Cricetulus griseus: one gene and its partners. The protein of the gene in region 1 interacts with the protein of each later gene in a pairwise test. Links are inferred from orthologs where the notes say so. Each region holds a gene or a part of one and is shown in the gene's direction. Other genes may lie near its edges.

Region 1 (6,949 bases):
CGATGTGGTTGGGTGTGGCCGCCCCGCCCCTGGTGGTTTCCCAGTTCCACTCTGCTTAATGTACTACTGCTTCAGATTGCAGGAGGAGATGCTCCAGAGAGAGGAAGCCGAGAGCACCCTGCAGTCCTTCAGACAGGTTTGTAGCCAACAGCCCCACCCACCCAAACCACTCGCAGTTCTAAAAGTTACTTCACCCAGGATTTAAAGGTGCAAAACTTCAAGTCTGCCTGTAAAGCCCCTGGTGGCAGAAAGTCCACATATTGAAAAACTCCACTGTTTAGGTCAATCCTTGCAACATGAAGTTTTTCTATGTTTTTTTTTTTTCCCCCGGGGAGGGGACATTCAGATTTTTCTGTTCCCCCAAAATATTTCCCTTTCATTTTTTGAAACGTTGACCTTCTGATTCTGAACGCTTACAGTTTGATTAGAATGCCGTTTGTGAAAGTCAAATCAGCTAACTTTCACAAGGTCACACAAAGCACAGTTGCGTCCTCAAGTTTGAAATGTAGAATACTCTGGAGGATGAGAAAGTTTAACTGGAATTGAGCCAAGTTCCCTTTCTTTCTTCGAAGTTCGGTACTGCATGAAAGTTAGCTGAAGTGTCGTTGCACAACTATTTTTGTAATCTAACAAGGGTGAAAGGAAGCCATCTGTTCCCGCTGCTGAAGGGTATTAAAAGTTTCTATGGGCTTCACTATGGAATGTGGATACCGACATTCTGGCAAATGCGGTGGCTCTGGACAGAAATAATAGGAGCCTTTGTGTTCCCAGAGCAGCTTTGCAACAGGCTACATTCTTATTGAATATGTAATGATGTAACCACAGTTCCAATTGGACACAAGTATTTGCTAACATCCCTTATCTAATGTCTGGCTCAAGCTTGTGAAGTATGTGGTGTACAAAGTTCTTAAAGCTACAGTCCTCCCGGAAAGGGTTCCTCTTATGGAGTTGTAGACTGGTTAGCACCCTCCACAATTAAAGATAAATCCTAGACTGAAGAATGGAGTTTCATACGAAGGAGGGATTTTTGTTTGTTTTTGCTTCAAAGTTAGGTGTTAACAGCATACCAAAGCAGAAAGATGGCCAGTACAGTCTTATCCTTGGGAACATTCATTAGGATCAGCTACAAAACTCTCTAGGGTGACATTATGAAGGTGAGAGATATTTGCATACTCAACAGCAGTACAAGAATATTTGGTTACTTTTTTTTGTCACTGGGGGTATATGGTCATCACCCAAGAAATGTTTTCTGTAAGGCATTGGGTGAATATTCAACATTTCTTATTTATGGACTAAATTAAACTGTTTCATTCCCTTAAATAAAGAAGTCACATTTCACTGAATTTTTTTCAAAAGATTGGTCTGACATCATTTATATCTTTTTTTGTTTTTGTTTTTGTTTAGGACTTAGTGGAAAGCTTATAGATCACTTTATAAACTCTGTAAAGGAGTTTACATATAGTTTCATTGTGTTTTGTTCCACCATCCTGGAATAGTTGATGTCACTGAATTGATACAATGATGGCTGAGAAAGATAGAAATATCCTATAGGATGAGTCAAGGGGCATTTAAAAAAAAATCAGAGAAGGCAAAACCAATACAGTTCAGGATTACATCATATATTTTCCTTTTTGCCCAATGAGCATGACATGAGGCCAGAAGAGGGCATCTGATCCCTGGGAGCCAGAATTAGAAGCCTTTGTGAGCTGCTGGTTGTGGGTGCTAGGAACCAAACTCAGGTCCTCTAAGACACCAGCATACTATTACTGAATAAGCCATTTCTTCAGTCCCCCCACACCACACTTTTAAAAATGTGTATTTTCTGAAGCTTACATTTTTATTATATGTACTCAGGCAGACATGGAGTAGTAAAATCTGATAGACTACTATCATCACAAAATTTTTAAAAATTAAATGCTGTGATACTGATTTTCAGGCTTCAAACTGATGATGAAATTTTGTATGCAGAAATGTGGACTCAATAGAGTTTGTCATACCGTGTCATGTGCATACATATGCATTTATTCTTAAATTGTCAACTAGCTACCTTCAATATGACAAAATGGCTTTCAATTCATTTTTATAGCTAAGGATGTGTATTGGAATGTTACACTAAATAATTTATAAATCTATCAAGGATCATGAAATTTTCAGTACCTTCTCTATAGTAATGAGGATGGGTTCATATAGTTAGTTTTGAATAAATAAATAAGGGTCTGTAGAGATAGGTCAATGGTTAAGAGCACTGGCTACTCTTCTAGGGGACCTAGAGTTCAATTCCCATCACCCATAGAGTTTCTCTGTAAACTCTGGTTCCAGGGGATCTGATGCCCTCTTCTGTCTTTCATGGGCACTACACACACACACACACACACACACACACACACACACACACACACACACACACACACACACACACAGTGTACTTAAATACATGCACGCAAAATACCCACATACATAAAATAGAATGAAAAATATTTAATATAAACAGATAAGATGAAATATAGATTTTAACACGCCCTTGTCATCTTTTCTTTTTTCGAAACAGGATGTTGACAATGCCTCTCTGGCACGTCTTGACCTTGAACGTAAAGTGGAATCCTTGCAAGAAGAGATTGCCTTTTTGAAGAAACTGCATGATGAAGTAAGTGAGGTCCCTTTCAGCCAGCGAACAAGGCTAAGCTGCACCTGGGTTGTCCACATCTGACTCCTCTCTGTCTGTGCTTTCCTCAGGAGATCCAGGAGCTACAGGCCCAGATTCAGGAGCAGCATGTCCAGATTGATGTGGATGTTTCTAAGCCTGACCTCACTGCTGCCCTGCGCGATGTCCGCCAGCAGTATGAAAGTGTGGCTGCCAAGAACCTCCAGGAGGCAGAGGAATGGTACAAGTCCAAGGTATGAATGAGCCCAAGTAAATGATAGGAAAGCCTCCACTCTCAAAACACCTGCCTCGATTCCATCAGTACCCCCAGCTCTCTGTAGCCGATTTTATTGTTACAGTATCCTTGTCACTCTCTATGCTTCTTGTAGTATGGCAGACAGACACCCTTTCCACTCATTGTCTTCTACTCTACTTCAAAGAACACCTCACTGCCAAGCTGTTGACCTCTAACACTTGTTAAGAATTGCAGTGGAGTAAATGCTGTTTGAAAATAGCATCAGTGTTCACTCTTCCCTGGCTTTTCCAAACAGACATTTAGACATATTCTAGGAAACACAGAGTCAGAATGAAGATCACTCTTCTAAGAGAGTGAAAAGTCTAGGAAGTGAGCAAACTCCATTTCTGATTTCTTCCTGACAGTTTGCTGACCTCTCTGAGGCTGCCAACCGGAACAATGATGCTCTGCGCCAGGCAAAGCAGGAGTCAAATGAGTACCGGAGACAGGTGCAGTCACTTACCTGCGAAGTGGATGCACTTAAAGGAACTGTGAGTACCACCCAGCAGCAAAAGGGAGAGAATGGTGAGCTCGGCCTACTCTGTTGACTAGGTTAACAGTGATACCTGTACAAACAAATCAAATGCACATATATTTGTATATATATATATGCATATATATTAGTTTATATAATATCAATATTATATAATATTAATATAACATTGTAATGTATATTATACATATGAGATAATATAATGAATTATCAAGACAGTTTTAAGAATTAGTTGATGGATATCTTGAAAGTCTTAGCTGACATATGTTATTGATTGTAATAAGAGAGATTTTTAGAGTGGGCACAAGAGTACACTTCTGTAACCACAGCACTCTGGAGAAGGAGGCAAAAGGATTATAAGCTCAAGGTTACAGTAGGCTCCACATAGAAATTTTATCTCAACAAAACAAGACATGGGACTCAGTGCCTGTGTTCTCTGTTTGAAGCTAGTAGGCACCTGCTATTAAGAGAACTAGTGCACATGGTTTGCAAATGGGAATAGCTGGGGTTGGGAAATCACATCAGAAGCCCTTCTGCCTTCCCACAGAATGAGTCCCTGGAACGCCAGATGCGTGAGATGGAAGAGAATTTTGCCCTTGAAGCTGCTAACTACCAGGACACTATTGGCCGCCTGCAGGATGAGATTCAGAACATGAAGGAAGAGATGGCTCGTCACCTTCGTGAATACCAAGACCTGCTCAATGTTAAGATGGCTCTTGACATTGAGATTGCCACCTACAGGAAGCTGCTGGAAGGCGAGGAGAGCAGGTAGGGAAGGCAGACTTTGCACTTGTGCCTGTGAATTACGTCATCACAGTCTCCCTAGGTGCATCTCATTTAACCTTGACACCATTTCTACCTGCATTTTCCATAGATGAGAAACTTAAGGTTGAAAGAGAATAACTTGCTGTGGTCAGAGTTAATTAACAGCAGAGCTGGGATTTGAACCCACCTCCATGCCAAAGTCAATACTTTCCCCTCTGTAATTCCTCTAGCTCATGTTCCTGTGAAGAAAATTCGTACAGTATTCAAAATGTGCTAATGAGACCAGCTATGGGTAGATGTTTCTGAATCAGATCTCTAACAGCTACAGATTTCCTAGTGGACGAAAACTACAAGTGTGGGAACTTGTTTCTTCTTGTTGAAGTGCTTCATTAAAAAAAAAAAAAAATGTTTCTTTGCTTTTTGTAGGATTTCTCTGCCTCTTCCCAACTTTTCTTCACTGAACCTGAGAGGTAAGTGTGTCATTTCCTTTTATGGAAAAAGCTGTAGCCAATCATCATGTAGCAGAGCATCCACATTTTAGTAATACCTCAACAGTGCTATATGAGAAAAGTCTATGAAACATCTGTGGTTTCCTTTTTCTATAAGCCTTATATGAATATGTTCATTTTATTTTCTAATTTATTGAGGATATGATATAATTACATCCATCCCCCCCTTTCATTCCTCCACACCCTCCTATGTACCATCCCCTGACACACATGGCTGTCTTTTAGATTCATGGCTTCTTTTTGTTTAATTGCTGTTATATATACATACATATACCTATTTTACCACCTAGCTAGATAACTATGTATCCCTAAATATACGAATACAATGCCTCAGTCCTTTTAATGTTATTTGTTTGAATATGTTTTCAGGCCCGACCATTTGGTATTGGACCAATTTCCTTTTTAAATTATAGTTTACATTACTGTTGAAGATCAGACCCAGAGCCTAGAGCTAAGCAGGTGCTTTCCCACTGAGCTATACTCCTAGACTAATACCCTAAGTTTCAAACCAAATATACTTTTGAATTCCACGCTCTAAGTTAAGTGTGGATTCCAGATTGCTTCCTGCTAATGGCGTACACAGAGAGCTACTATCTCAGCCTGAGTGAAGGAGGCCTTAGGTACTGTGTCTTCAAACAGATGGTGCTTTGAAAGATTATGTACAAGTAGCACTTTAAACAACTGCAAATATAAACTCACAATGCTTTGGACAAAATGGCAACGTTTAAAATTTTTCATTTTTACCTGCTTTTTTTAATTCAGAGACTAATCTGGAGTCACTCCCTCTGGTTGACACCCACTCAAAAAGAACACTCCTGATTAAGACGGTGGAAACCAGAGATGGACAGGTTGGTATCTTTTAGATAAAATATGGACAGGGTAAAAGAAAGGATAGTGAATAAATATAGGGCCATTTCAAATATGCCTCAATCGCCTTTAAATCAGCAATCATATATACCAGATGCAGGCAGCTAACTTGAGAGGTCCCCATGCCTACTGGAAATATAGGCTCTGATTCCACCAATATAAAAACAACTGATTATTTGGTCCTTGGATGTAACAATAATCTTCCTGCTCTCTGAAGTCTGTAACTTGAAATGGGAATAAAACACCTTTCAGGTACTTTTTAGATGAACTTTATTAAAGGACTTCACCTAATGACATCAGTTAATATCAAGGATGGTTTGACTTGGGCATACAGTTCTCTCTCCTGTCACCTGTTTATATAGTACAAGGACTGGCATATGGTCAATCAGTGTCTTGTTACCTCTCCATGCCAGGCAAGAAATGGTTACAACTAATCATAATTATGAAAGCATTTTATTGAATAGATTTTAACACGTTTTAGTTGCTTTTGAGCTTTGTGCCTGGGATTGCTACAGCAAACTTCCTAAACACAGTTTTCAAGTATTCTTTTATATGTCACACCCTTTCATTGGACACCTCTATTGCCTGCAGGAGGTCTCCTTGCCAATGCATCTCTCTTTAAATCCTGCTGTGAAGAGTCAGCATTAACCCCCAGCCTGCTCAACAAATTCTATTTAGGGCTGTGTCTCCTTACCTGATTTGATTTATTTCCTTTTTGAGCAGGTGATCAATGAAACCTCTCAGCATCACGATGACCTTGAATAAAAATTGCACACACTCCGTGCAACAACGCAGTACCAGCAAGAAGAAAAAAAGAAATTTGTATCTTAAGGAAACAGCTTTCAAGTGCCTTTACTGCAGTTTTTCAGGAGCGCAAGATAGATTTGGGATAGAAATAAGCTCTAGTTTCTAACAACTGACACCCTAAAAGATTTAGAAAAGGTTTACAACACAATCTAGTTTACGAAGAAATCTTGTGCTAGAATACTTTTTAAAGTATTTTTGAATACCATTAAAACTGCTTTTTTTCCAGTAAATACCTGACCAACTTGTTACTGCTTCAATAAATCTTCAGAAATACTCCTTTGATGTGTTATTTTATAATATCTAAACAAATATCTTTAGTTCTATTGGCTAATTTACTGAGATCATACTTGGGATTTAAGTTATAGGTTCAATTTTTTTATGCTTGCAATACAGTTTTTAAGTTAGCCTTTTACAAGAGAGATCACTTCTTTTCAATTGTTTATTCTTTGAATTTGGGGTGAGTGTATGACTTATCAGTAGAGATGTGCTTACATGAACAGGTCCTGGGTTTAATCTGTAGTGACTGCATTCGTGTTTGTGTGTGTTCGAGCACTCAAGCATATGAGCGTTCC
Region 2 (8,401 bases), about 22 Mb from region 1:
CCCATCAATAGGCCATTAGAAAGATAAATTAGGCTTCCTGTCTGGCATTCCTCCTTCGTCCTTTTCGGTAGTCAACAAGCACTTTGTACTGGATTTTAAAGTACTTTTCCTGCTTGCTTGAGTTTTCTAGAGACAAAATTAAAGGAGGCAACTGCCTATAGTCCCCATATTAGCCTTACCATCAAGCCCTCGCTCCATTTCTGCTGCATTTCTAATGATCTCCCACCTATTTTTGCCACTCATATCAATTTTTCTAATACATATTACATAACCTTAGTGACACCTTGATAAAAGCAATTCAGTGTGGTACCCGGGAATCTATTGCTGAACACTAAAGACAGTATTTGCCAAAGTTCAGGAGAAACAAGCAAGAAACCAAATTTCCTTGGTTTAAAGAAATCTTCTGCTGCCTAGTTACCAAGGCTGAATGATTAAGTGTCCATGCCAGATACTGGGGAGACTCTAAGAAAGGTTTGTGCCCTCTTGGAGTTTATTATGTCAACTACCAAAGAGCACCTTGCAAGAGCACAAATAGAGTGTGGAAAACCAAGATAAAAAATGGAAGTCAGCAGGAGATGAGAAATAGAAAGACATAAAGAAGAATTGTTGGAGCCTTTGAAAGTAAAGACAAAGATGAATGACAAGCAGGCGACTGGGGAGAAAAATGTGGTGAATCTTAAAGGCTGACCCTATTAGAGTATGTTTATATGAGACATACTGAGTTGCAAGATACAGTTCTTAAATCCTCCAGAGTAAGTTCACATCATGACATCAAAATTTATGCAAGGGTGTCATAGTTATTTATGAGGTTTTTTTTCTTCTTTTAAAGAGTGGGGATGCAATTTTGGAAAATAGAATAATACACATGAGAGGACATTGAAAGATCATCTGGCTATTGAAGGTGTGAGTATTTATGGGATATGCTGTGGTTTCCTAGCCAAGGCCACACGGTTCCAGGACATTCTCCAGGCATAACTAAGCTGACAAGGGAGCATGACATGTCCGTGTGACCCAAATGTATGACTTCCCTTGTTCTTTGTTGTAGAGCTCTTCATACATTAGCTAAGACATCATGAAATACACACGCCAGCCCAGGACGCTGGTTCTGCCTCCCTTGTCACAGAAGTTGATCAGCATCACTTTCTGAAAGCTTACTTTGCCTGCATATACTTGCTCTCCTTGGTCTCTTTCACATGCATTGTGTTCCTAACTCTGCCTCTCAGTGGATATAATTAGAGCAAAGACTACATCTGCATACATGCATCTGACTTAGGTCTTATGTCCAGAATACACATGGAACCTTTAAAATACTACAGGAGCTGGGGAGATGGGTCAGTTGATAAAGTGCCTGCTGCATAAGCTTGAGGCCGAGTTCACCTCCATAGCAACCACATAAAAAGGTGTGGTGTAGGGGACACTGTAACCACACCTGCTTGGGGCTGGTTACAGGTGTGCCTGGCCACACCCTTTTGGGCATGGTCAGGGTGATGGGAGGAAAGCTTAAGAGTGAGGGACAGGCAAGCAAGCACATGGGGCCCCTTCTTCTACTTACCTTGCTCCCTGCTGGCTGGCTAGGCTGTTGTGATGAGTAGGATCCTCCTAAATAAATACCCTTATATTTAGACCTGACTCTGAATTGCTATTTCACATATTTGGCATTGGTGTGGTAGCTCTAGTGGCAGTGGGACAGATCCCTGGTGTTCACTGGCCAGACAGCCTACCCCATTCACGATTGTCTAGTTCAGTGAGAAACCATGTCTTAAAAGATAAGGTGGAGAATGAGTAAGGAAGCCATCAGATATTAACCCCCAGCATCCACACCCTTGCACACATATGTACACATATACCTGCATACACACTGCATACAGATATGCTGCATAGATGCATGTGCATTCACACACACACACACACACACACACACACACACACACACACACACACACACACACACCTTCTTGAATCAGGAGGTCATATAATTGAAGATGAGAGTCATGAAAACTTGGGCAACAGTGAGAGGTCTCTGAACAGAAAACAATCCAAAATTCAAAACCAAAAGGAGTCAAAGGTGTTTCTGGCAGCATTTGACTTATGCTGTATTGTTCAGCTTCACTGCAGCCTTGACCTGAACACACGGCAAGCACACTGTGTAATGCACTTGCCATCAAGCTACACAGTGCCACTAAACACTGCCTCCAACACCTAGGATCAGAGCCAAGACTATTGCATACTAGATACTGAAGTGTTTCTACTATACATACTGTAGAAAACTTTTATAGAAATACAACAACCTTTAATATTCCCTACCACCATTTCTCAGTGTTGTATTTCTATAAAAGTATCAATCAGTATATCTTCAGACTGCATTGTATTAGAATGTTTGGTTTTAAAATAGCTTTCAGAAGTTGGTTTTCTCCTTCCATCATGGTGATTGATCGCAGTTCCTCAGGCTTGATGGCAAGTGTTTACTGAACCAACTCACAAGCATTAGTTTCCAGTTTTCTATTTTATTCATTTCAATCACTACCATTTTTTCTAATTAATACCTATATATGCATACACCTTAACACATTTTATATTTGGTTTTATATATAGATTTACGGGATACAAACTCTGAAAATGTACAATAGTAACTTTGGGCTGCAGGGGAATAGCTTACTGACACAACACTCCTTCCACATTTACAAGGTTTGGGGCTCAATCCCCAGCACAAAAATCGTAACCTATCTTCTCTTCTCCCACAGTAGTGCATTTACATTTTAAATTTTGGGTTATTTATATATTATTCTTAGTCAACTGCCATTTCTACACTAATAGGAAGTCCACAGGGTCTGAGAACTCAGGGCGAGAACTTTTATTCCTATGGAGCGCTGTCCCTCAAAGGCCTAAAACGATGTAAACTAGGTACTCCAGAAAACTTTTCAGAAAAATTCAATGACATGACTCATTTTTCTCACACAAAGGACAAAACAGGAACGCTGGCGTCCAGTTCTTTAACACGTACTCCGGCTAGAAGCGGCTAATGCTTGAGCCACACTCCTGAACTCTCAGAGCCGAGCCGGAGCGGAAGGCTGGGAGGGAAACTGCCAATGGATGCTGGTTTTACTTCATCTCAAACTGACCGCAGAATCACCTTTCATAGTCCAATGTCTTCGGCTGCACGCTGCTGGCCAGCGCCTTCAGCACTCGCAGAAACTGAGTCTCAGCCCTTGAATGGCGGGACTTAGCTCCCAGCACCCACCCCGCCTCCGGACCCAGAAGCGTGGGAGGACAGCCCCACCCAGCCCCTAGTCGCAGGGCTGTAGCAGACGCACACGCCCCTTCATCCTTCACCTACCCTTTCGCCCCGCCCCCTGGCCGGAAGCACTTGCCGGCACTTCCGGTGGTCCGGGACCCAAGGCTTCCTCGGAGATGTCTTGGGTCCGAGCGGTTCCCGAGATTCCCAGCTCTGGGGATCAGGACGTGTTTGACGAGGAAGCGGACGAGACTCTGTTAGTGCAGCGGGAATGGCAGGGACACATGAGGAGACGAATCCAAGTAAATGGCCAGGGACCGGGACGCGCGGGAATGGGTCTCCCACGCGGGGCTTGGGGCTCGCGGGGGCAAGCCTGGACGGAGGGGGACGGCTGCGGTGACCCCCACGGCCGCCCCAGTCTTAGGATTTCCAGGTTGGTTACTTGGTAACCTTTAAACAGGCTCGTTCTTTGAGATCCCCGGCTGGATTTGGATCAGGGGACTGACCGACTAAAGTGAACTTGATCCAGTCCCTCAAGAGTTTGCAGTTTGGGGAGGAAAAGAGCCGAAGGGGAGAAATATACACCGACTAGACTAACGGCTGGCAGAAAACGCACATTCACAGATGTTGTTCAGTGGGTGGAGAGTCCAAAGTTGGGTGTGGTGTTACTAAAACTCTGTAAAGGTGAATTTAAAACTATTGTCAAAGGACGGGAAGGTAGAGAAGGGGATATTGTTTCACTTTTTCCTTGAAATGTGTCATTCATTCCGGATCCGTCTCACCATTCATTGAAACTTGTTTAATAATACGAGGGTAGGGTCAGCTTAGTTTTGGGTGACAACTGATAAGATCTGTGTCCAAATAGAGGTGGATTCCAGAGTATAATGATCTCAGTTCCACCCCTGGAACCCACATCTTGGAGGGACAAAATAGGTTCCTTCTGACCTTCACATTCAAGTTGGAGCATGAAACACCCCCCCCCAAGTAAATATATGTTACATAAATATTTTTAAAGTAAAAGGTAAAACCATGTCACCCAATATATTTATCAGCCATTTAATTGCCTTTTTAAAACTGCAGTTTCGATCTACCCTAATTTAATAGTATTTGTTGAGTCCAACAACCATTATGCCATTATAAAAATGCCTTAGGAATTTGGGGCTAGACCAATTATAAGAGGACAAAAATCTCTATGCCACATTCGAATTAGATTTCTAAAATCAGACTTCCTCTCATCTGTTCCTAAAAATAGTTTCCTCTTCCCCGGCCTTGCCAGCCTCATTAACTACCCTGTTGTAGTCCATTACCAAGACCAGACATGTAGGTTTCCATTTCTGTGAAGAACTTGCTAACAGGTATTAAAAATTACATAACAACTGTTGTCCAATGTTTATTCAGTAACCCTATATTTCCAAAGTGAGTTCAGGATGTGGCATCGAAGCACAGGCCTGTCATCACTTAGGAGAATGAGGCAGTAGGATTATGAGTTCCAGGCCAGGCTGGAAACAAGGTTTAAGAAAATAAAACATGTGATAAGGAAGTACAAGCCAGGAAGAGGGTTTTAGAAGAAACATTCTGCTTTGGATTTAAGTCTCTGCCATATCATGTTCAGTTAACATAGTAAAAACCTGCTAAATCTATTTTCAAAAGGGGTCCTGTGCTTTTCTGGAAAAGATTTACTTGGAGTCAGTTACAACTAATTTCTGATTTTTAGGAAGGTTACAGAGATGGAATAGATGCTGGCAAAGCAGTTACTCTCCAACAGGGCTTCAATCAAGGTTATAAAGAAGGTGCAGAAGTCATTATAAACTATGGATTACTCAGAGGAACATTGAGGTAATTTTAAAAATTTAAGTAATGAATCCTTTTAACCACAACTCTAATGGATTTTTTTTAATGGAGGTAATATGTAAAAATAAAAGCTTTTCCTAATGTTGAATACATGAGTCTTCAGAGCATATAAAATCGTTGTCAGTTCATCCATTTTAATATGTGTGTGTCTGATGCTTTTCCTGTTTTTGCAAAGAAATGGTAGGAAGGTGTCTTTTTTTTTTTTTTTTTTTTTTTTGCCATTTGGACTAGCACTAATCACTGATGAGCTTCCAAATAAGGCTCTTTGTACTCCCACATGTAGTATGGCAGGCCTGTAGGCTAGAAGTCCATTGGGAAAGCTGCAACTACTAATGGAAAGAGGTCCTATGTGTTTCAGCCCTGAACTTTGAATGCCTGTCAGAATGCCATAGCAATAATATTAGAGAGTAGTCAAACGCTCAGATGACACATGGTGACTAAGAATGGAGTGGGCCTCTTTGATGTGGGTAATGCTTCAACTGTCCTTTATAGAGAAACAAACTGCTACAAAGAATCACAAATTTTAAAACAGAAAAGAATCGTTTGTTTTAAATTATGTTGAGACCTTTAGAAAATTAACTAGAATATATAATTTACTACACCAGGAAAGGGACCAAGGGGTCATCTCCACTTCATGTTTATGACTTAGAAAGCATACTGCTTCGTCTTTCACAGCAGTCAATTTCACTTGTATAGTATTTTCCGGGAGGGGGCAGCTCAGAGGTAGAGTGTACGCTCAGCATGCACACAGCCCTGGGCTCAATCCTCACCAAAGAAAGAGAGATCCATTGTTTTCTTAAATTGTATAAACAATCCGGGAGGAAGGGTCGTCTACTAGAAAAGTAACAAATATAATTAAGTGTATTTGAAGTAGAATTCTTAACACTTTTGGAGAAAATTAAAGCTCTGTTAGTGATTCTAATTTGTGACAAAGATTAAGAATGATCAGTTTAGAAGTTGTTTAATGTCCTTAAAGGAGAACCTGGGGCTGCCTCACAGGCCTGATGTCTCAGTTAAATATTGAGTACTGCCAAGAAAGAAGAAAACATTCCATTGACAACACTTTGTGACAATGAGTAGCCCAGGATGAAGTCTTTAAAATACTCTTCCCGATAGTGTTTTGTCCTTCTAATAGTTTAGCAAGCCTAGGTTTTCTGCCTTAAAAGGAACAAAAAGGAGGGACTGGTTTTTCTGGTCTTTAGGTAAATTATATTTTATTGCATAGAAGTTACATAGTCAAGGAAAATAGAAAAAAAAAAAAAAATGGGCCAGGCAATGGTGGTGCTCAACTTTAATCCCAGCATTTGGAAGGCAGAGGCAGATGGATCTCTGGTTCGAGGTCAGTCTGGTCTACAGAGTGAGTGCCTGGAAAGGCTCCAAAACTACACAGAAAAACTCTGTCTTGGGGGAAAAAAAAAAGAAAAAAAATTGGTACAGAGCTATGAAGGAGGAGGTATGATTTATAAGCAGTTAATATAATTAAGTCTTCTTGTAGCTTGTATTAAAAGATGCTTTATTCTTTAGTGTTATTTACATTGTTATTTTCCTAATTTGGACATGTATTATTATTATCACTAATCTGTTTCTGCCTGATGTTTTGTAGAAGGACAACGTGTAGGGCCTAGCATTCTAAATGCCTGTGACTATGTAATTTTTTTCCTATTTAACTCTTGTTCATATTTTCATTCAGTGCTTTGCTCTCCTGGTGTCACCTTCATGGTAATAGTTCAACTTTGGTCAGTAAAATCAATAATCTTCTGGACGCAGTTGGCCAGTGTGAAGAGTGTGTGCTCAAACGTCTGAAGTCAGTCGCTCCACAGCCCCAAGTTACAGATTTATTGGACTCCATTGAGGATATGGACCTTTGTCATGTAGTTCCAGCTGAGAAAAAGATTGATGAAGTTAAAGATGAAAGACTCTGTGAAAATAGTGCTGAATTTAACAAAAACTCTGACAAGAGTCATATCCGGACAGATTGTTCACATTCAGAATGTTGCAGAACACAAGAGCATGAACATTTAGAAAAGCCAAGCCTCACTTGGATTCTGGAACAGACAGCTAGTTTAGTGAAACAGCTGGGAGTGTCAGTAGACGTATTACAGCACCTGAGACAACTCTAAAATTATCTCCCCTTTTGGAGTGCAAGTAGTGCTCACAAATTTTCCTTAGAGCATTGTGTTTCTAAAAAAGGTAACCATTGGTTGAATATTTAACATGTAGTTACCCCTTGTGGAAGTATAAGGGGCTCTGTGCTAACATTAGTAAATGGAATATAAGCCTTTGTCTTTGTTATTGGTAATTTTTTAGCTTTAGATATGCTCAGAAATCCTCATTGTCATTTTCAAGTTTCTAATCAAAATCTAGTCATTTTTAGACTAGCAAAACCCAAGATCAAGGGGAAAAAAATCTAATGCTACTTTCTGCTTCTGTCAGTATCAGGTGGTTTAGGATCTCATCACCAGCAACCAAACCAGAGTTGCCAGAAATAGCTTAAAGTAGTTGTGTAAATAGCAATACATTGAAATCAAGAGACCTTAGAAACTGACACAATATTTATATCATTGATTAAATAATTAAAAGCCAAGTGTTAAAATTGACCTTATTTACATATTGGTTATAGACCTTCAATTCTATGAAAAATAGAAAAAATACATTTCATATTGAACTATAAAGAACTGCTTAGTTTTCTAGGTAGTGAGTAGTTGGCCATGTTTTCTCAAAACAGACTATTTCTGAACTGTAGCCTTGTTATTTACATTGGAATAAAACACTGAGCCCATTGACTTATATTACTTCAACATGAAAAGTGTAATATAGCATAGGCAGGATCATATTCAGATTTTTGTTCCTTGACTTAGATATCAGGAAAGGATTTTTCATCACTTTTCCCCACCTGGAGTTAATATGAAATGCCTGACTTGAGAGGCACCCAAGTAATTGTCCCATACTGACAGCTTCAGTTGCTGTTTGGCCAGTATTTAGCTATGCTGAGAGATGCTGCCCTAGTAAGAAACTAGCAGGAACACCTAAGGGACTGCGAAAATAATCTACTGGTTTCTTAGATCCCTCTTTAAAATGCACAGAATATTAAGAAATTGAGGCAGCAAATTTGGAAGTAATGTTGTTTCCGGTGTGCTAAAACATGCTTAAGGTATCAGAGTGACATTTGATGGCTTATTTTCTTTTTTTTATTCTGAAACTTAATTGTAGTACTGGAGATTGAACCTAGGACCTCATGAGTGAGTTTTAAACTAAAACTCAAATCTATAGAATATCATAAATAATAGTCTCTAGAGCAGCAGTTCTCAACCTTCCTAA
Region 3 (8,469 bases), on another chromosome or scaffold:
GGTTTCCTAATCCCTCCAAATTCATCAGAAACAAAGCATCCCCAGGCCAAATGATCTCTTCTAGGAATTGTGCAGTTGGCAGTATCTGCTGACTCCTACATTCCTCCCGGAGGATGCATCCTCGTGTGAGTGAAGAACTTGAATTCTCTGATGAGTGACATGCTTAGAAAAGCAAAGTAAGGGAGCACAAAACAAGTCCTCAGAGCAGAGTCCTCCTAAGACGGAAGTGGTAGGTAACCTCTCCTAACACTATGGTTTACTTGGCTAAGCCCCAATTTTCAGTGGACAAGATGAAGTTTGAAATGGTCATACCTGTGACCTAGAAAGAACTGAGCATGCCCCAGGTGAAGACATGTGGCCGTGACCAAACTGAGGCAGATGGGAGGGACGGGGTGAAATGGCAGCAGTTACCTGCTCAAGGTTAGTACTTTCAGATCTCTGCTTCTCCAAGCCAAAAGTTGTTGTTTTTCATCAAAGCTTGTGTTTTCTCATTTTTTCCTCTGTGAGACCCCTAACTGTTGTCACATTTTGCTCCCTGGCGGGGCTCGACCGTGAGCTAAACCATTTTGCCTCTCCCATCACCACCCTTGCGCAAGCCACTCTAGATCATGTACAGTCTTGGCTTCTGGCCTTGGGGAGAAGGAGGTTAAAAGGGATTACACAATGGCAGTTTATTAGGGTTGCTGGGGGAGGGACACATGTGTGACTAACGAATGCAGCTACCTCTGTCCTTCCCAGTTTCTTCTAATCAATTTCTATTCTGAATGAAATTTGGGAAAGCGGAAATGAAACAGAGAGCAAGGAAATATGGGAAAGAGGATGCAGAACGCAAAAATCCTTTCTCCTCTCCCACATAGATGCCAGCATCTGTGGGAGAGAAAGAGTGACAACTAGGAACAGAGAGCATTTATATCTGCTTCACTGGAGAATGTGGGGCCTGAGAACGGAGCGGGGGGAGGAAAAAGGGCTTCCAGCTGTTCCTTAAGAACCTATCTCCAGTCATTCTGACCTCACCTTATGTATTTCATACATCCTTAAGAAAGTTGAAAAATACTAAGGCAAGACACAATCAAAGGGAATATAAGAGTTGACACATTTAGACTTGATTCCAAAGAAGGAAAATTCAAAATAACCAGTCTTACTTTCAGAAAGGGTTACATGGAGATTCATGAAGGAAAGGATGAAGGAAAGAGGGAAGATGAAAGACAACGGGAAAAAATCATCATTTATCAAGAACTCATTATGCATGCGTAGTGTTTAGATTCTCTGTACAAATTCTCTCATTTGATAGCTTACACGTCAGAGTGTTTCCATGCCCCCCACCACCACACACACACACTTTGTTTTTAGAGAATAGTGCAGTATCTCCTGCTGTGTTACAGTGGATATTTATATATATTGAATCCAAGACAGAGATTCTAGCAAAGTGAAGAAAATCTCCTATCCCCCCAAAAAGGTAGACATTGCTATAAATAAACATTTTTGATAACGCTTTCTTTTTTAATATGGAAATCATTGGTTTTCAGCAGTAGCCATCACCTTTCCCTAACTAGGCTTTCCTCTGGTTTTGGAAAGGGGAGGCTGTGAAGATCAGTCCTTCAACCCTAGCTGACAAGTATGATGCTCTGCAGAGGAGCTCAGGATTCAGGCCTTCACAACTCTTTCCTGGGCTGACATACTCCTCTTATTAGGGACAAAACTAGATGATCTTCCTGTAGATGAAAATAGAAGGGCTTGACATCTTTAAACTCTGAGGTGTCTGTGGTTCAGTAGGAATTAAAACGAAAGAACACTTAACACCCATAGTTACATGACTTTAGTAAATGCTTGTGAGGATGATTTCTGAATAGCTCCAATTTTAAACACAGTTGGGACAAACCATGGAATATCATGAAACCTTTTTTCTGACTATGTTGTCAGAACACATCCCCTTTGTCTCATGTCCTTGGTTAAATTTGTAGTTTCTTCCTGATGTCTCAGACCATGACCCTTTTTCAAAGCCATCCCAGAGGCAATTCTTTATGGCCACTGAGACACTGCCAGCTCACAGTTGGTTACAGACAGCTTTGAAGCAGTCTTCCATTCTCACAAACAAACATCTGTGTTTCCTGGGAATGGGTTTTAGGGGGACCTAAAATATCACTAGGTCATCAACAATAGTAAAGATTCTGTCCGTCGAAACAAGAACCCAAATTCTGTAAAATTCTCTACTATCTTCATTGTGTTAGATCTTCAGGGTTTGGCTTTAGAAGTGGGGAGAGTAGCAAAAGAAAACCAGGAATAATGAGAAAGAAAATGAGGTTAGAAACAGAGCGTTACAGAGGGGTCATGAGAGCATGTTTGTAACTAAATTTGAAATTGTTTACTTTTGCTAACTGAATCAGTAATGATATTGTGAGTGCCAAGGAAATATGCAAAAACTATGGCAAATGTTTTTGAGAAAATATAGATCTTACCATTAATAGACTTTTTTTGTTGTTTGTTTCTTTATTTTTAAGAAGCAGAGCCTGCATACAGAGTTATGTTTCTAATTCCTTCTAGTCTATAATAATTCATTCCTATCTTAACTGGAAAGGCCTGACAAAATTAATCTTTCATTGCCATATAATATATGGGGTGTGAAATATGCATCTGTCTTTGGCGAGTGCAAACTTGTTCTTGCTACATAATCATACAGACTTAGTTCTTCCAGGAACACCACAACACTGACTATTGGCAAATTCGTGCATCAGTAACAGAAAATGGTATAGCATTATGACCATGTATTAGTAAAATGAAGCATCAGAGTTTGGGTTTTGTTTGGTTTTTGTTTTCTTCTCTTTCTTGTGTGTGGATGCACATGCACACATTGTTGCATACATGTATGTGCTGGAGTTCATCCCAGGCCCTTGACAAGCTAATCATGTGAGCCTGCCAAGTTACCCATAACTCTGTTTCTTATTGGCACAGTTATTTTAAATAAAATTGGTGCATTACCAATAAGCTTTTCTATTCACTCCAAAGATACATGATTTTATTGATAAAAACTTTCTTCAGATAAAGCAAGATTTTTAAAGTCCAAAGTATTTTTTAATTTCTCAAATTACTGTGTATTTATTATACTATCTAAAGTTCATAATAATGCTATGGATATCCTCACTTTAGTGTAAAAAATATCAAAGCTTATAACAGAATTATATATCTGGTATTTAAAGGTTAATTTTAACTATGTGTATATTTGGGGATAGGATATGTGCACGTGTCAGTGCAAGTGTCCACAAAATTCAGAAAAAGATATTGGATTCCCTGAAACTGGGGTTACAGGTGGTTGTAAGTCACCCACTAAGGGAGCTGAGAACCAAATGTGGCCCCTCTGTAGGGGCAGTATGCAGTTGTGAGGTCTGAGCCATCTTTCTAGCCCCTAAGTCCAAGATTTTAAATTGTCTCATCAAGCCCGAAATATTAATATCCTGAATGTTAGAAATCAAGTCATTTTGGTCACTACTTAGTGTAGCATAAGAAAACTTCTCTTCAGTTTCCTATAGTTATTATTCAAGACGTGTATAGTCCAGGTGAAAGAAGAGAGGCCATGAGTAAGTTTTAAGATGTGTCTCACAGAATAATGATAATACTTGAGATTTGACTTAAGAAAGGAAAATAATGATCTTTTTTCATTTTAATATTTGCATGGTTTGTAGTTAAGACACTAGTCTTCTGAGATGACCTACTTTGGGTCTTGGTACAGTCCTTCCACTTGACCTGGGGAGGATCTTGCTTCTTTCCTGTTTAGTTTTCTATAGTTAATTATGTCATTGGGTCTTAACAAAATATTTCCACAAAGCGCGTGAACTTGGGACTCTGTCTTCTTATGTTTATCTCAGGCTTTATTTTAAAAGGCAAGTGAGACCACTTCAAACCAAACACTTCCACACTTCCAAGAAACAGCTGAGAGAAGGCAGAGATGAGCAGAAACCCTTTGGCTGACACTCACACAGTTGCCATGGACCTGCATAAGCAGTGGGAGAACACAGAGACCAACTGGCATAAGGAAAAAATGGAATTACTGGACCAGTTTGATAATGAAAGAAAAGAATGGGAAAGTCAGTGGAAGGTCATGCAGCAGAAGATTGAAGAGGTATGAGTTGATTTGTTTAAAGATGCTGTAAACTCCAAGCTAAATGTGAAAATCCTGCTGACATTCATTTTCTATTGGGGACTACTTTCATTTCTCTTCTTCCACCAAAGAAATAAACGTCTTATGACGCTAGATCAAAACCAGCATAACCACACCTAGTGGTGTCTCTGAGAGTGCATTTATTTTATAGTCTTACATGAAAATACAGACCTTGAAATGGTTCTCAGCCTCGCTAATGCTGTGACCTTTTAATACAGCTCCTCATATTGTGGTGAGCCCACCCAACCATAAAATTATTTTGTTGCTGCTTTGTAACTGTAATTTTGCTGCTGTTATGAATCATAGTATAAATATCTTACATGTATACTAACTTATATGTGAGCCCAAAGGGGTCACAACCCACAGGTTGAGAACTGATGCTCTACAATGTATCAATTTAGTATTCTCTGATTTCAGGTTTATGGTACCAAAAGTAATGTATATGTTCTGTATGACTCCTCAGCTACTACAGCCTAGAATGAAAATGCAAGAAATAAATAATTGGTGGGGCATACAGTATCAAGATTATAATTTGATAATCATATACCATCTCCTTTCTTAGAAATGACTAATGTATACCAAATATTGTCAAATAACTCAGAAGCATCAAATGTATGTCATATGTCAGACAGAAAAATGGTAGAGGACATCAGATTTATTCTGGCAATGTGTTAATAGGAAATGAATTTTTTAAATGACATATCATGGCTCTGACACAGTCAATAATTTTATTCTCATTAATCACCCCCTAGTCATCCTCGACTTTTGCATGAAATGTTCCTTCAGACATTTACTTTAGTGTGCCTTCGAGCTTGCTCCAACTGAAATTTATGTATATTAATTTTGCTATATTTCATTCAATAAATAATATTGAATTTTTTGGTTTCTTCAACTTAACAAGACAGTTATTTAACAGATTCCCGGGCCTTATTTTTTTTCTTTAGCAGACAAGCAAAGTAAGTGCTTTGTATGTTTACAGTGCAACCATGCTTCTTTCTGATTAACAGAAAACAAATAGGTTGTGAGTAAAATACACAAGTGGTATGCCATAATGGAAAATAAAGGATGGGGGTATTAAATCCTTCCTCTAGGGAATAATAAAGGTGAGACATCTGTGATTAATGATTCCAAAATAAATCTACTTTTACTACTACATTTGAAAAACATATTGTACTAGCGTCCTTCACTTCCCTTATCCAAGGGCTTTCCTACCTGTGATTAAAACAGCATAGTTGAGAGTATATTTATAAAAATGTGCTACATATACTGCCCATAGGTAATATCTCAATGCCAGCACTGTGTGTCTTCTTCTGGTTATATACATATGGACTACAGTGTACAAAGCTAAGATAAAAATACTGAGAAAACCACAAGGGGGGTGCTTGGAAATTGTATGGTTCAAACATAGTGAAGTATTTTTTCTTTAGCAAATATGTTGTTTAACAAGTACAGTACGTGTGTTTAAAGTTACTAGGCTCTAGTATTAAATTCTTTCAGGATATTGAGCCATGTGCTAGAAAGACGCAGACTCCAGAGTGTGCATCTGTAACATTGGTGATTTTAAGTAATAATACAATTGAGTGAAAGCATCCAGTATGAAGATGGTCCTGTATCTCTGCTGAGTCCCTCTCCGCATTCATTACAATTGCTATTGAAAATCCAAGGCATATGTACTCAGACAATTTGAAACCTGGAATAATTCCCTATGAACTATGATCATGTATAACTTAGCTGATAGAAATCTTGAAATTTTTTTGTTCCCTTGCAGTCTTTTCTGCTTGTGTCATTTGGTCATTCAGCTATTGAACAGGAAAAATTTCCTATACCAAAGAAAAAGTTTTCCATTTGTTACAGTGTACTAGTACTAGTTTCAGGGGGTGGGGGGCAGAATTCTTGCTGCTGCTGTTTTAATTTCTCAACTAAGTTGAGTTTTGGGAAGCTATAATGGCATAAAATTACATATAAGTTAAATTATACCAAACCAAAAACTGAAGGATTAGATGAATACATGAAAAGGAATTGTATATAATACACAGGAGTGGGTCTTTCTAGAACCCAATATAGTTAACATGCAAAATGAAAAGCCATGAGTTGTGAATAGCACAATTTCCCCTGGGTCTAAAAATATAGCAATTTTCTTTTTAATTCAGGAAATTTTTTGTTTTGTTCTGTTTTGAGACACGGTTTCTCTGTGTAACAGCCTTGATGGTCCTGAAACTTGCTTTGTAGACCTGGCTGGACTCGAACTCACAGAGATTCTCCTGCCTCTGCCTCCTGAGTGCTGGGATTAAAGGTGAGTGCCACCATGCCAAGTCTATTCAGGAATTCTTAAAAATGGGAAAACACTGCCAACAATATCCTTAAATTTAACAGGGGACTTTGGGGGTTGTTCCTTATATCATTCATGTTGAAGAACAATTCAATACAATTAATTTTGTAGGCATCAAAACAATCAATTTATTGCTGTAGTTTGGAAATGAGTGATTAAAATCTTTATCAATATTGGGGAACTAAAAGCACCATGTATCCTTAATGTATTAGTTATGTATACTCTCTCAACTGGAATTATGTATAAATATTGAGTATGTTATTACATTTATTACCTTAGTGAAATATAAAGGTATTTGCTTTAAAGTTATTTGATGGTCTGTTTTGAAATATGATAGGCTTTTGCAAGATGTAAGCAAATCTCAGGAAAACACTGCTTCCTTCTTCACTTTGGGAGTAAGCTGATGGAGTATCTGCTGATTTCACTAAGGCAGCCTCCTTAAGAAATAATTTGGGATTGTCTTTTACTGAGGCGATAGATAGTCCAATTTTTAAAGTTCTGGCTTATCAGGTAGAACATTGATGCAATCATTTTAATATGAGTAAAAACAACTTGTTAAAAGAATGTGTATCATTGTGGCATTAAAAATATCACTATAATATCTACCCCTTGATAAAGTAGTTGACCAACCAAGGAAATGATTAATAAGGGATTACTTAGAGGAAAGAATATGCTGATTTACTATATGATATTGTCAGCTATTTAGACAGTTTAGATCTTATGTTGTTACATAAGATCGTATGTTTAAAATATATGACTATTAATGTTAAACTTTTGTTATATTAGAAAGTGGTTATAGAGAATAGAGAGTGATTGATTTGGGTCAGTGTAATTTTGTGATTGTGCTTCTGCATTCTGTATAGATCCAGATTTAATTTATTTTTTTAATGAGTTGATTTCTCATCAGAAAAACAGAATGTGGTATCCATGCATTGCCCTACTAAAACTAGTCTTTACGGTTCACCAAAACTGTCCTATCTCATTCCTGTTTTAGAGGCACTATCTATATGCACAAGCATTAATACCCATGGTAGTATGTAGTAATATTGCAAAAAGGACTTGAAATGATTTGCTTAGTATCCAAGAATATTGAACAAAGTTAGGCATAGTAGCACATGCCTTTATTACTAGTATTCAAAGTCAGAGGCAAGTAGATACTGGGGAGCATGAGGCCATTCCGGTCTTCACAATGGGTTCCATATCAGGACTATGTAATAAAACTCTGCTTATGAAAATTTATTGATCATAAAAGAGAAAGAGAAAATATATTGATCAAGAAAATTAGGAAAAGTAAATTTTTAATTTTTATTTCCTACAGCTTTGCCAGGAAGTAAAGCTGAGGAGGAAAATGAACATGAATGAACATTCTAAGGTCATTGCTCTTGATCGTGATCAAGATAAAATGGAATTTCCTCCAAATCACCCCAATTCAGGACAATGTGAATTTAGAGTGATGAATCACCGAGATGATCTGGACAAGGACAACAAGCTAGAAAGGGACTTCCTCAGAGAAGGAAACCAAGCTTATAAAAACCAAAACACGCCCACAGGAAACAAAGTCGGGTTTCTGAATCCTTTGGCCACAGAAGAGGAGGCACATGAGGAGGCTGGCATGAGGACTTCTAAGGAGGAGAGTAAAGATTGTTCTGTCGCCCTTAACACAGTAAGTAAGACCAGATCAGCCAGGAAGTGTTTCTAAAGAAGTGCTTGCACTTCCGAGTGCTAACAACGCCTCTCTTTTTATGTGTTATGGGTGTGAAGGCTCTTGAAGAACTTGCAAAAGTGAGTGAAGAATTATGCACCTTTCAAGAGGAAATCCGAAAGCGCCCTAACCACAGAAGGTAGGCTGGCACACGTGTGACCATTGTAAACCAGAAAATTCAAAAGAATTCTTTTCACAGTCAGTGAATCTAAACTGCCTCATCATGTATATCTTATTTCATGGATTCTTAAAAGCAATCTTCTAATATGTTTCACAATTTAAATA
Region 4 (8,584 bases), on another chromosome or scaffold:
CGCCGGGCCAAGTGGCGACATCAAAAGCGTGCTTCATCGTTGAGGCTCCTGCCTGGAACCAAGAAACCTCCCAAGGAGAGCTGTTGATGGTGTCCAGAGTTCTCCTGACTTCGGCAGTGACGTGGAGCCCAGCAAAGTAGGAAGGGGCAGACCTACTTGGACAGAAACTTAGAGGACAGAAGCCCCTTCCATCACTCTCTTGCAGTGTTCAGCTGCCAGGTGTTGGGACAGACGGGATCCAAGACCTCCTCCCCTATGAAGGGAGACACATGGGGCAGGACCTCTGCAGGTAAAGGGCAGGCATAGAGCAACTTCCTCAAGCACCATTACCACCTAGAGAGACCTCCTAACTCCATCCAGGACCCAAAGTCTTTTATAGTGGAGGCTACCTCGCCACCTCATGCCTGCCTCCAAGACTGGCCCCTTATGTATTCTTCCACCTTCTAAGCAGGGCAGTGGTATCTGCACAGTCCTGGGATTACTCTGTCCTCAAAGGTTCTGTACTGGACCATGGTATCAGGAGCAGTAGAATAAGAAGGCTATAGTTGGTATTTTCCAGGTCCCTGCACCTGCTCCTTCATCTCAGCCTTGTGCCAATACCAAGAAATAAACGAGATCTACAAATACCATAAACAGTCCAGAATCAAAAGTGCCATGTCTCAGGCTCCATTTCCACAGCTATTTAGGAGCTGTCTCCCTTCCCCATTCCCAGGGAACTGGGGATCAACATGTCTTAGAGAACACAGCTCAACAAGTCCTCAGTCCCAGTACCGTGTTTCCCCATCAGAATTAAAGCCAGAAGATGGTGGCAGGCCTCCTGGGATTTGCTATGGCCTCCAGGTACTACCAACCTGCTTCACAAATGGGAGATGTTTGGCTTTTTTTTTCCCTGGAGGTTTTCATACAGTAGTATCTGCCAATAGGGTGGTGAAGAGATTAAATTCAGGGAACATCCATCCCCACTATGTTAGGAAATGTCTGTCTTCCCCTCTGTAATCCAGGCCCCACAGAAGTGTGTGGGGTATACTAAGCATGAAAGATGGCTTCCATTCCCTGCTGACTTGTGCAGTGGGCTGGAGGCAGCTAACACCCCCTACACCTGCCTGATCTCCTTGCTCTGTCCCCTCACAGGTCTTGAAGCTTGCTGTGGTGTCTGCGAGAGACTTGGTCCATTCACAAAAGCTAAACTATAGAGCCAATGGCAGGAGGTCTTGGTACTATATAAAGATGGCTAATTTAGAGAACACCAAACAGGCATATATCCCCAGCCAGAGCTGTCCTAACACTGCTGGAGACCTCCAGGATAGGGACTTTCCTCCCAGTCCCTGGGATGCATACTTACGGCTGCCACCAGACTGTTCCTCCTGAATTTTGGCCTTGCCTTAGAAGATTTCACTGTCTAGTTTCAGACACAGCTGTCCAGGTCAGCTCACCTGCAGACTGGGGACCCTGTCCTCCTTGGTTCTCCAGAATCTGAGCTTGGCTGAGCTTCTGCCCTCCTCTCATCGTCACCGTGCCCTGCAGAGGCTCCTCACACTCCTCACCTGACACCTGACATTGACAAGTGTCCAGAAGTTCCATCTCAAGGCCTCTCCCATCTTCATTCTCTTCTTTAAAAACATCGTGCGTGTGTTTATTTGTGTGTGTGCTTGCATGTGTTTGAGTGTGTTTGTGAGTGTGTGAATGTGTGAGTGTGTCTTTGTGTGCATGGTGTGTGTGTGTGTGTGTGTGTGTGTGTGTGTGTGTGTGTGTGTGTTGCCTGCATGCATGTATGTGTACCACATGTTTGCCTGGTGCTGGTGGAAATCAGAAGAAGGTATTGGAACCCCTGGAACTAGAACTGTGTGCCATCATGTAGGTACTGAGAACTGAACCCAGATCCTGTGGAAGAGCAAGAGTGCTTTTAAAGAATGAGCTATCTCTCCACCACCTTCGGTTCTCTTCTTGATGTATCTTTTCCACCCTTAGATTGTAATTCCCATCTCTATGTCACATATATTTCCATCTCCAGTTCAGGCCTCTCCCCTGAGCTAAGTATGTCCATACCCTGTCAGTCTGTCCCCAGGGGTTGTCAGGCAACACTTGGAAAGCCACCGCCTCCTCACATTCGCTTTGTATTTGGTGAGCCAGTCCTCCGTTCATTGGCCTTGTTTAAGGACATGAATCACAGTTCTTGATCACCAATTGCCCTCTGTCACACCAAGTTCATCCAATTTCACCTCTAAATATATCAATAAACCCCAGAAAGCAGCTTCTCTGCAGCTTCAGCTACACTAACCTGGGGAAAACTGCCATCACCTTGCACCAAGACCATTGCAGCTTTCTCTAGTTATGTTCACCTGAACCCGCTCTGGCTTCCCTTTAATTCAAAATAAAAATGGTATTTCTTGCCAGGACCCCAATGACACTGGTAGACTGGCTCTGCCCCTCTGCCATCATGTCCTTCTTCACTGAATGGTGTGAGCAAAGGTCTGCTTGGGAATTTGCCTTGCTCCATGCCACTCTTGGGCTTTTGCACGTGCCTTTCCAGTTCCACTTGGCTGATGCCTATCCGTTCATGTTTTGGATCTACAATCACCTTCTGCCTGGGAAAACACAACATGACATGTGCTATGTAGAAATCAAGATTCTCTTGAGTACAGACTTCTTGCAAGTCACAGGCATGATTTCACACACATGCAGGATGACTCTGTGTGTGTGTGTGTGTGTGTGTGTGTGTGTGTGTGTGTGTGTGTTTATTATGGTCAACTCCATTGGGGCAGGAACATAGCCATAATGCCCCCAGTTGACTTCCAATGAAGGAAGAGATCATTGGAAAAGCAAAATTGTGGCAAGTCATTCTGGGCTAGAACTGGTTTGGCATAATTCACGATCTCCCTTAGAATGGAAGTACCATGAATACTTTCAGTGAGTACAGGCCTCTTTTGGGAAGCCCACCCTGGCAGGCAGGGAACTAATAAATCTAACCAGAGCTTTAAGCGCCCTCTTGTTCCTTCTTTTCATTTACCTTTTGTTAGACAACTCTCTGGGAAGACTTGTCTTAGTGTTTCTTTTTCTGAGTTTTGACTTCATATATAACCAAGTTGTTTTTTTTTTTAACTATTTAAAAACGACTTTGGTTTTTGTTGAGGAAAAATTGGAACTTCTAATAGAGGAAATGTGGCGTCAAGTAGGCATCCCACAGCGCCTCCTAGTGACCATAGTCTAGACAGGCACGAGCAACGCGGATGGGTATCTAAGACTACAACTCCCTTAAGATCCGGCGCTCCGGGTGACATCATTTGGGAGCGCCGGCTTTGTTACAAAAATACTGCTTCTCCATTGGCTGGCTGTTGGTGTGACGCCAACGGCGCCTGAGCGGTTCTGGGATAGCGATGGGGACGCCCGGGGCCTCTGTGGGTCCTCTGTTTCCGCCCTCGGCGTCTGTCCCTCCGAGGAAGCGTGCGGCTGGGGAAACCGGGGTTGCGAGAAGCAGGCAACGGGTTCTGGATGAAGAAGAGTACATCGAGGTACCAGCTCAGTGCGAGCTCTGGCGACTTCTGGGCCCTTTCCCCGATTCGCGTTCCTCTCCGGTCCTTTAAATGTTTTCTGGTACTGGAACTCTCAGCCGCCTGTGGGATTGGAAAGTCTTGAGAGCCAAGACGACAGTGCGGAAGGGGGTGTCGAGTTTTCAGCGAAAAGGAGGAGCGGTCTCGTTGTCTGTCGAGGGCCTAGGAAATAAAGTTTCCTATTAAAGTATGAGCAGAATTTTGACAGGTTTTTAGGGTGATGGAGAAAAGGACTTTCTGGAAGGCAGCGGCATTAAGTGTAAAGGCTGGGGGGTCCTGGAGATAGACCTCGGTACTGGCCGTATTATTGAGTGAGGGTCTCGGTTGCTCCTCGAGTTAGGGGTCCCACTGCAAAGTATGCTGGAGGGCAAACTGACATAGGTCTGGCTTTAGACCGGTTGAATTTAGGACGCTTCTGGGATAGGCTGGAATGTATCATCGCCACGTAGCTAGGTATACAGATTTGTAGCTCTACAGCAAGGTCTGGCCGGAGGTGAAATCTTGAGAATTTTATCCGGTGGTGGCAGTAGTGGTGACTGGCTTTCAAGAGAAAGGTTTGGATTGAAATAAAAATACATAGGTAGAATGAGAAAGGCAACATCTACATTAGTCTGGCTGCTGCTGCAGATGGAACCAGCAAAGGAGAACAAGAAAGGATTTATGGGCATCAAGAGGTTGTTCCGAGCCGGGCGTTGTTGGTGGCACACACCTTTAATCCCAGCACTCCTCGGGAGGCAGTGGCGGGCAGATCTCTGTGAGTTTGAAGCCAGCTGGCCTACAGAGCCAGTTCCTTGACAGGCTCCAAAGCATTCCAGAGAAACCCCTGTCTTGAAAAACAGTACTAGAAAATGCTTCTGAACTATCTTGAAAATCTCAATCATCCAGATAGGCAGAAGTGAAAAGGACCTTAGGGCCTAAAGTGGATAATGGTGTCATGACTCCCATATGCCAGCTCTGACCTTTTGTTCTGATTGCTTGTGGCAGGGACTCCAGACAGTCATCCAGAGAGATTTCTTCCCTGATGTGGAGAAGCTACAGGCACAGAAGGAATACCTGGAGGCTGAGGAAAATGGAGATTTGGAGCGTATGCGCCAGATTGCTATCAAGTTTGGCTCTGCTCTGGGCAAGATTTCTCGGGAACCTCCACCACCCTGTAAGAGGTTGCTGTTCTAGAAGGCAGAGAAGGGAAGTTTGTTGTCTCTGTAGACTCCCTCTAATTTCTAATTTGCTTCCCTCAGATGTTACTCCGGCCACCTTTGAAACTCCTGAGGTACACACAGGCTCTGGTGTGGTGGGCAGCAAGCTCCGTCCCCAAGGCCGGGACCTAGATGATGGTGAGTGAACTCACTCTTTTGGTCTCATGGTCAAGAGTGCTTAGGAGTCATATTGAGTTTTCTCAGGATCACATTTCATCCTTGAGGGGTCTCCCAACCTAAATATCAACTTTTGGGATCAAAGACACTGGTGTGGAAAGCTAGATCTGTCTAGCTCCCAGTTGTGGAAGAGCAGTAGTCTGTGCCTCTGGCCTGTCTCTGGAATGAGAGCCCATCTCCTGTCACCAGCCTGTTCAGTGTGCCAGCCTTTGCCTTGTAGGCTTTGTGGGCCTGGAAAGCTCTTTCATTGCTGACTCCTGAAGATGCCTCAGGCCCCTTCTTCCTTTCTTCCAAGGTAGTTGCTTGTTGTGTCTCTTCCTTCAGGTCCATATTCAGGTGTTACCTGTTTGGGCTAAGAGGCATAAACTTGGTGGATGTTGAGGTTTCCTGACCTTTTGTGTAAAGTTGGAACACCCTGGGGCTCTGTGCTTCACAGACTGCCTTTGTTTTTTCTGATTTGTTTTGTTGAGACCAGAGTCTCACTGTTTCCCACACTGCCAGCTTTGTGCTTTACTGCAGAATGTAACATCTCAGAAAGCATTTCTGCTTATTGCCTCTCACCCTAATTACTGATTTTGATGCCCTCTCAGAGAGCCGGGTCTTGGTTTTGCTTCTATCTGTTTGCACCACGTTTGGAATAGCACATGGTGTGCTGTACCATCAACAGACATGGAGAACAGATGAAAGTGCTCATGTTTCCTGAGCATCAGACATAAGTATGGGGCATGTTTTAAAGTTAGGAGCCACACTTTATAAATCTATTGAATATGTGAGTGTGCTGCATACTTATGGGACTTTTCTCGGTCAGTTGATCTTTTTCTCAGTAATAGGATGTATTCCTAGAGGTGGGCAAGCTGTTTCTCTACCAGGCTCTAGTCTACAGCACACTGTACTAGGGCAAATGTGCAACATGCTCACACAAGCTTAGTTTCTCAACAGCCCATCTTTTTCTGCCATGAACATGGTAATGGTTATTGTTGGATCTTGTCTCTTAATTGAAATACAGTATAGAGTCACAGAGCAATTTGAAGATGCTCTTTTTAGACACATTTTTATCAGTAAACATTGGAATCTTTGTAATTACAGATAAGGAAACAGGCTTCAAAAGGCTGTGACTTCTGTAGGTGTTAGGAATAGTCAACAGTTGAATGGGACCCAAGTCTATCCCCTTTCTAACCTCAGGTCTTAAACTTGTAGCCATTGTGGTTAGTACTGGCTGGCACACAGATGGTCAAGACTGTCAGTAGAACAGATGAGAACCCTCAGCTTCACATCCCCCCTACCACCCAGATTTTCATTGCTACCTCTACAGGAATATCACTTGCTTTGGTGGCAGGGATTGAGGTGGTATGGTTGGCTTTTGTGGCCCAGAGTCTGTAGCCTTCCCTGGAGCATTGGGCCATATGGGCCCCTGCCTTTGGGATTAACTGGCATACCCTGATGCTTAGTGACCATCACTTACCTGTAGCATCAGTCAGAAAGGAAAAGGTAGTTAGGGTAAGACAATCCCAGGAAGGAAAGAAGAACCCTTGGGGCTTCAGAGATCCGTACCACAGGGTTAGTACAGTTTGGGCAGAGGAAGAGCCTACTAAACAGTTATCATGAGCTCTTGCTTCATTGTTTGTCCCTGCCCCTTCACCAGTCAGCCAGATCACAGACTTCTCTTGGCATCCAGCAGATGAGTGGAACTGGCCAGTCAGCTGTGGATGCCACCTGGGGCTGCCTGAACAGTTGGGGTTTGTTGTGTCACCTAGCAGGAGCCAGGGTTCCAGCTCTTTGTGGTGTGGTTCCCAAGACTGGCAATGCAGTGGTAATTGTGCTATATGTGTATTGTGTTTCCCTACCTGTGGCTCCTGAGCAGGAGAGGCTAGAGATGAGGAGGAGAAGGAGCCGCTGCCCAGCCTGGATGTCTTCTTGAGCCGCTACACAAGTGAAGACAATGCCTCCTTCCAAGAGATCATGGAAGTAGCCAAGGAAAAAAGCCATGCCCGCCATGCGTGGCTCTACCAAGCTGAGGAGGAATTTGAGAAGGTAACCCTGCAGTTTGAAAATATAGGCACCTTTTTGGGGGATGAAGTCCCAGAGCCACAGGTACAGGGTCTGGGTGACTTCCTGACCCCACTTTCCTCCCATGTCACTATAGCGGCAGAAAGATAATCTTGAACTCCCATCGGCAGAGCACCAAGCCATTGAGAGCAGTCAGGCTGGAGTGGAGACCTGGAAGTATAAAGCCAAGAATTCTCTCATGTACTATCCTGAGGGTAAGTGAATAGAAATGAGTGGCAGGACAGGAAGACAGGGACTACAGTGGTCTGTCTTGTTATTTTTTAACCAACTTTTAAAGTTGTTCACTTGCAGCATGGACCAAAGAGAAGTCCTGGTCCATCTCGGGGTTGGGGAGCCTGTGGCATTTGTGGGGCAATGAGGCCTCCCCCACTTCTGTGTTTGGATTCTATAGGTGTGGTCTTTGGCTGGGAGTGACTTAGCTGAGGATGCAGGGCTGAGGTGGGCATGGAACTTCCCACCCCTGTGATGGCTGCTACCTTGCTTTTCCTTTGATAGGTGTCCCTGATGAAGAGCAGTTGTTCAAGAAGCCACGGCAGGTAGTGCATAAGAATACACGTTTCCTCCGGGACCCTTTCAGTCAGGCCCTGAGCAGGTCCCAGCTTCAGCAGGCAGCTGCCCTGAATGCCCAGGTAAGTCAGCAGAGCTACCAGACAACTGGACAAATGTGATAGGCTAACTGTGCATAGGTGTGGCCTCTCCCATCTTGGTTGTTCCCTTTGTTAGGATTGTCCTGAGGCTAGATAGAGCTTAAGTGCAAAACTAACACAGCCTCTGTGTGCTAGGACCCATGTCTCTTTTTAGCCCCTTCCAATGGAGCCAGATATATGACCTAAAGGTCCACTCCTGTACCAGCCGCTATGATGTTGGCCTGGGAGAAGAGAAGCTTCTGGAAGCCAACCCAGACCCATACCTATCTACCAGGCAGAGAGATGAATAGAGCAGTGTGTACTGGGAAGTGCCAGAGGGAGCCTGGGATTAAGATGACTGAGTGCCCTCAGAGAGTGGCTCTGGTCGTCATGGGGTTGGGGAAGGAGAGGCAGGAGAGATTGGGAGATTCAGATGCCTCAAGGGAAAAAGACAGCACCAGCCCTTCGTAGCATTGCAACCTAAGAGATTCCTCCTTAGGTGGAGGAAAGGGGCACCCCTTGCTTGATGACTACTACTATTAACCTTCAAAGTCTTTGGGGCAAGATGAGGATAGGGTTCCCTGTCTTTCCCAAAGGGATCTGCCAGTCCTAGAGCCCAAGCTCTATTCCAAGGGGAAGTGTTTCCTACATGTCCCTCTGTACCTGCTATCAGTCAGCTGTGGAGAACCCCTAACACTGGTCTGTCTCTCTGTCTTTCTCTATTCCAGCACAAACAGGGCAAGGTTGGTCCTGATGGCAAGGAGCTTATTCCTCAGGAGTCCCCCCGAGTGGGAGGCTTTGGATTTGTTGCCACTCCTTCTCCTGCTCCTGGTAAGAAATGGGTGATAAGTCCAGACTGGACAGGGCAGTGCACAGGCTAGACTCAGCAAACGTGCCTTGAGATGCCCCAGGGCACCATGTCTTGTTTGGTCTTCCCTGTGATGTGAATAGGTGTGCCTGTGTGTGTTGG

Evidence for each region.
Region 2: the proteins of Vim (region 1) and Yae1 interact in a two-hybrid assay, tested with the Homo sapiens proteins (2 studies listed by BioGRID and IntAct). The link is inferred for Cricetulus griseus from reciprocal best matches to the Homo sapiens genes VIM and YAE1.
Region 3: the proteins of Vim (region 1) and Kiaa0408 interact in binary tests that used the Homo sapiens proteins (3 or more experiments, as listed by UniProt). The link is inferred for Cricetulus griseus from reciprocal best matches to the Homo sapiens genes VIM and KIAA0408.
Region 4: the proteins of Vim (region 1) and Ess2 interact in a two-hybrid assay, tested with the Homo sapiens proteins (2 studies listed by BioGRID and IntAct). The link is inferred for Cricetulus griseus from reciprocal best matches to the Homo sapiens genes VIM and ESS2.

Annotation. Positions count from the first base shown.
Region 1 is NC_048596.1:218,976,468-218,983,416, reverse strand, and holds the end of Vim (vimentin), read left to right. Parts: intron 1-75; coding exon 76-136; intron 137-2,548; coding exon 2,549-2,644; intron 2,645-2,733; coding exon 2,734-2,895; intron 2,896-3,301; coding exon 3,302-3,427; intron 3,428-3,976; coding exon 3,977-4,197; intron 4,198-4,620; coding exon 4,621-4,664; intron 4,665-5,465; coding exon 5,466-5,551; intron 5,552-6,293; coding exon 6,294-6,335; 3' UTR 6,336-6,651; downstream 6,652-6,949. UniProt on the Homo sapiens protein: Vimentins are class-III intermediate filaments found in various non-epithelial cells, especially mesenchymal cells. Vimentin is attached to the nucleus, endoplasmic reticulum, and mitochondria, either laterally or terminally.
Region 2 is NC_048596.1:240,632,490-240,640,890, reverse strand, and holds the start of Yae1 (protein YAE1 homolog), read left to right. Parts: upstream 1-3,356; 5' UTR 3,357-3,408; coding exon 3,409-3,534; intron 3,535-4,946; coding exon 4,947-5,068; intron 5,069-6,773; coding exon 6,774-7,203; 3' UTR 7,204-8,401. UniProt on the Homo sapiens protein: The complex LTO1:YAE1 functions as a target specific adapter that probably recruits apo-ABCE1 to the cytosolic iron-sulfur protein assembly (CIA) complex machinery. May be required for biogenesis of the large ribosomal subunit and initiation of translation.
Region 3 is NC_048595.1:247,805,804-247,814,272, forward strand, and holds the start of Kiaa0408 (uncharacterized protein KIAA0408 homolog), read left to right. Parts: upstream 1-3,873; 5' UTR 3,874-3,940; coding exon 3,941-4,114; intron 4,115-7,800; coding exon 7,801-8,145; intron 8,146-8,243; coding exon 8,244-8,323; intron 8,324-8,469.
Region 4 is NC_048597.1:71,378,039-71,386,622, forward strand, and holds the start of Ess2 (splicing factor ESS-2 homolog), read left to right. Parts: upstream 1-3,342; 5' UTR 3,343-3,374; coding exon 3,375-3,509; intron 3,510-4,532; coding exon 4,533-4,701; intron 4,702-4,786; coding exon 4,787-4,882; intron 4,883-6,782; coding exon 6,783-6,952; intron 6,953-7,064; coding exon 7,065-7,182; intron 7,183-7,483; coding exon 7,484-7,617; intron 7,618-8,342; coding exon 8,343-8,445; intron 8,446-8,584. Other genes in the region: Gsc2 (homeobox protein goosecoid-2), read left to right, coding at 1-87. UniProt on the Homo sapiens protein: May be involved in pre-mRNA splicing.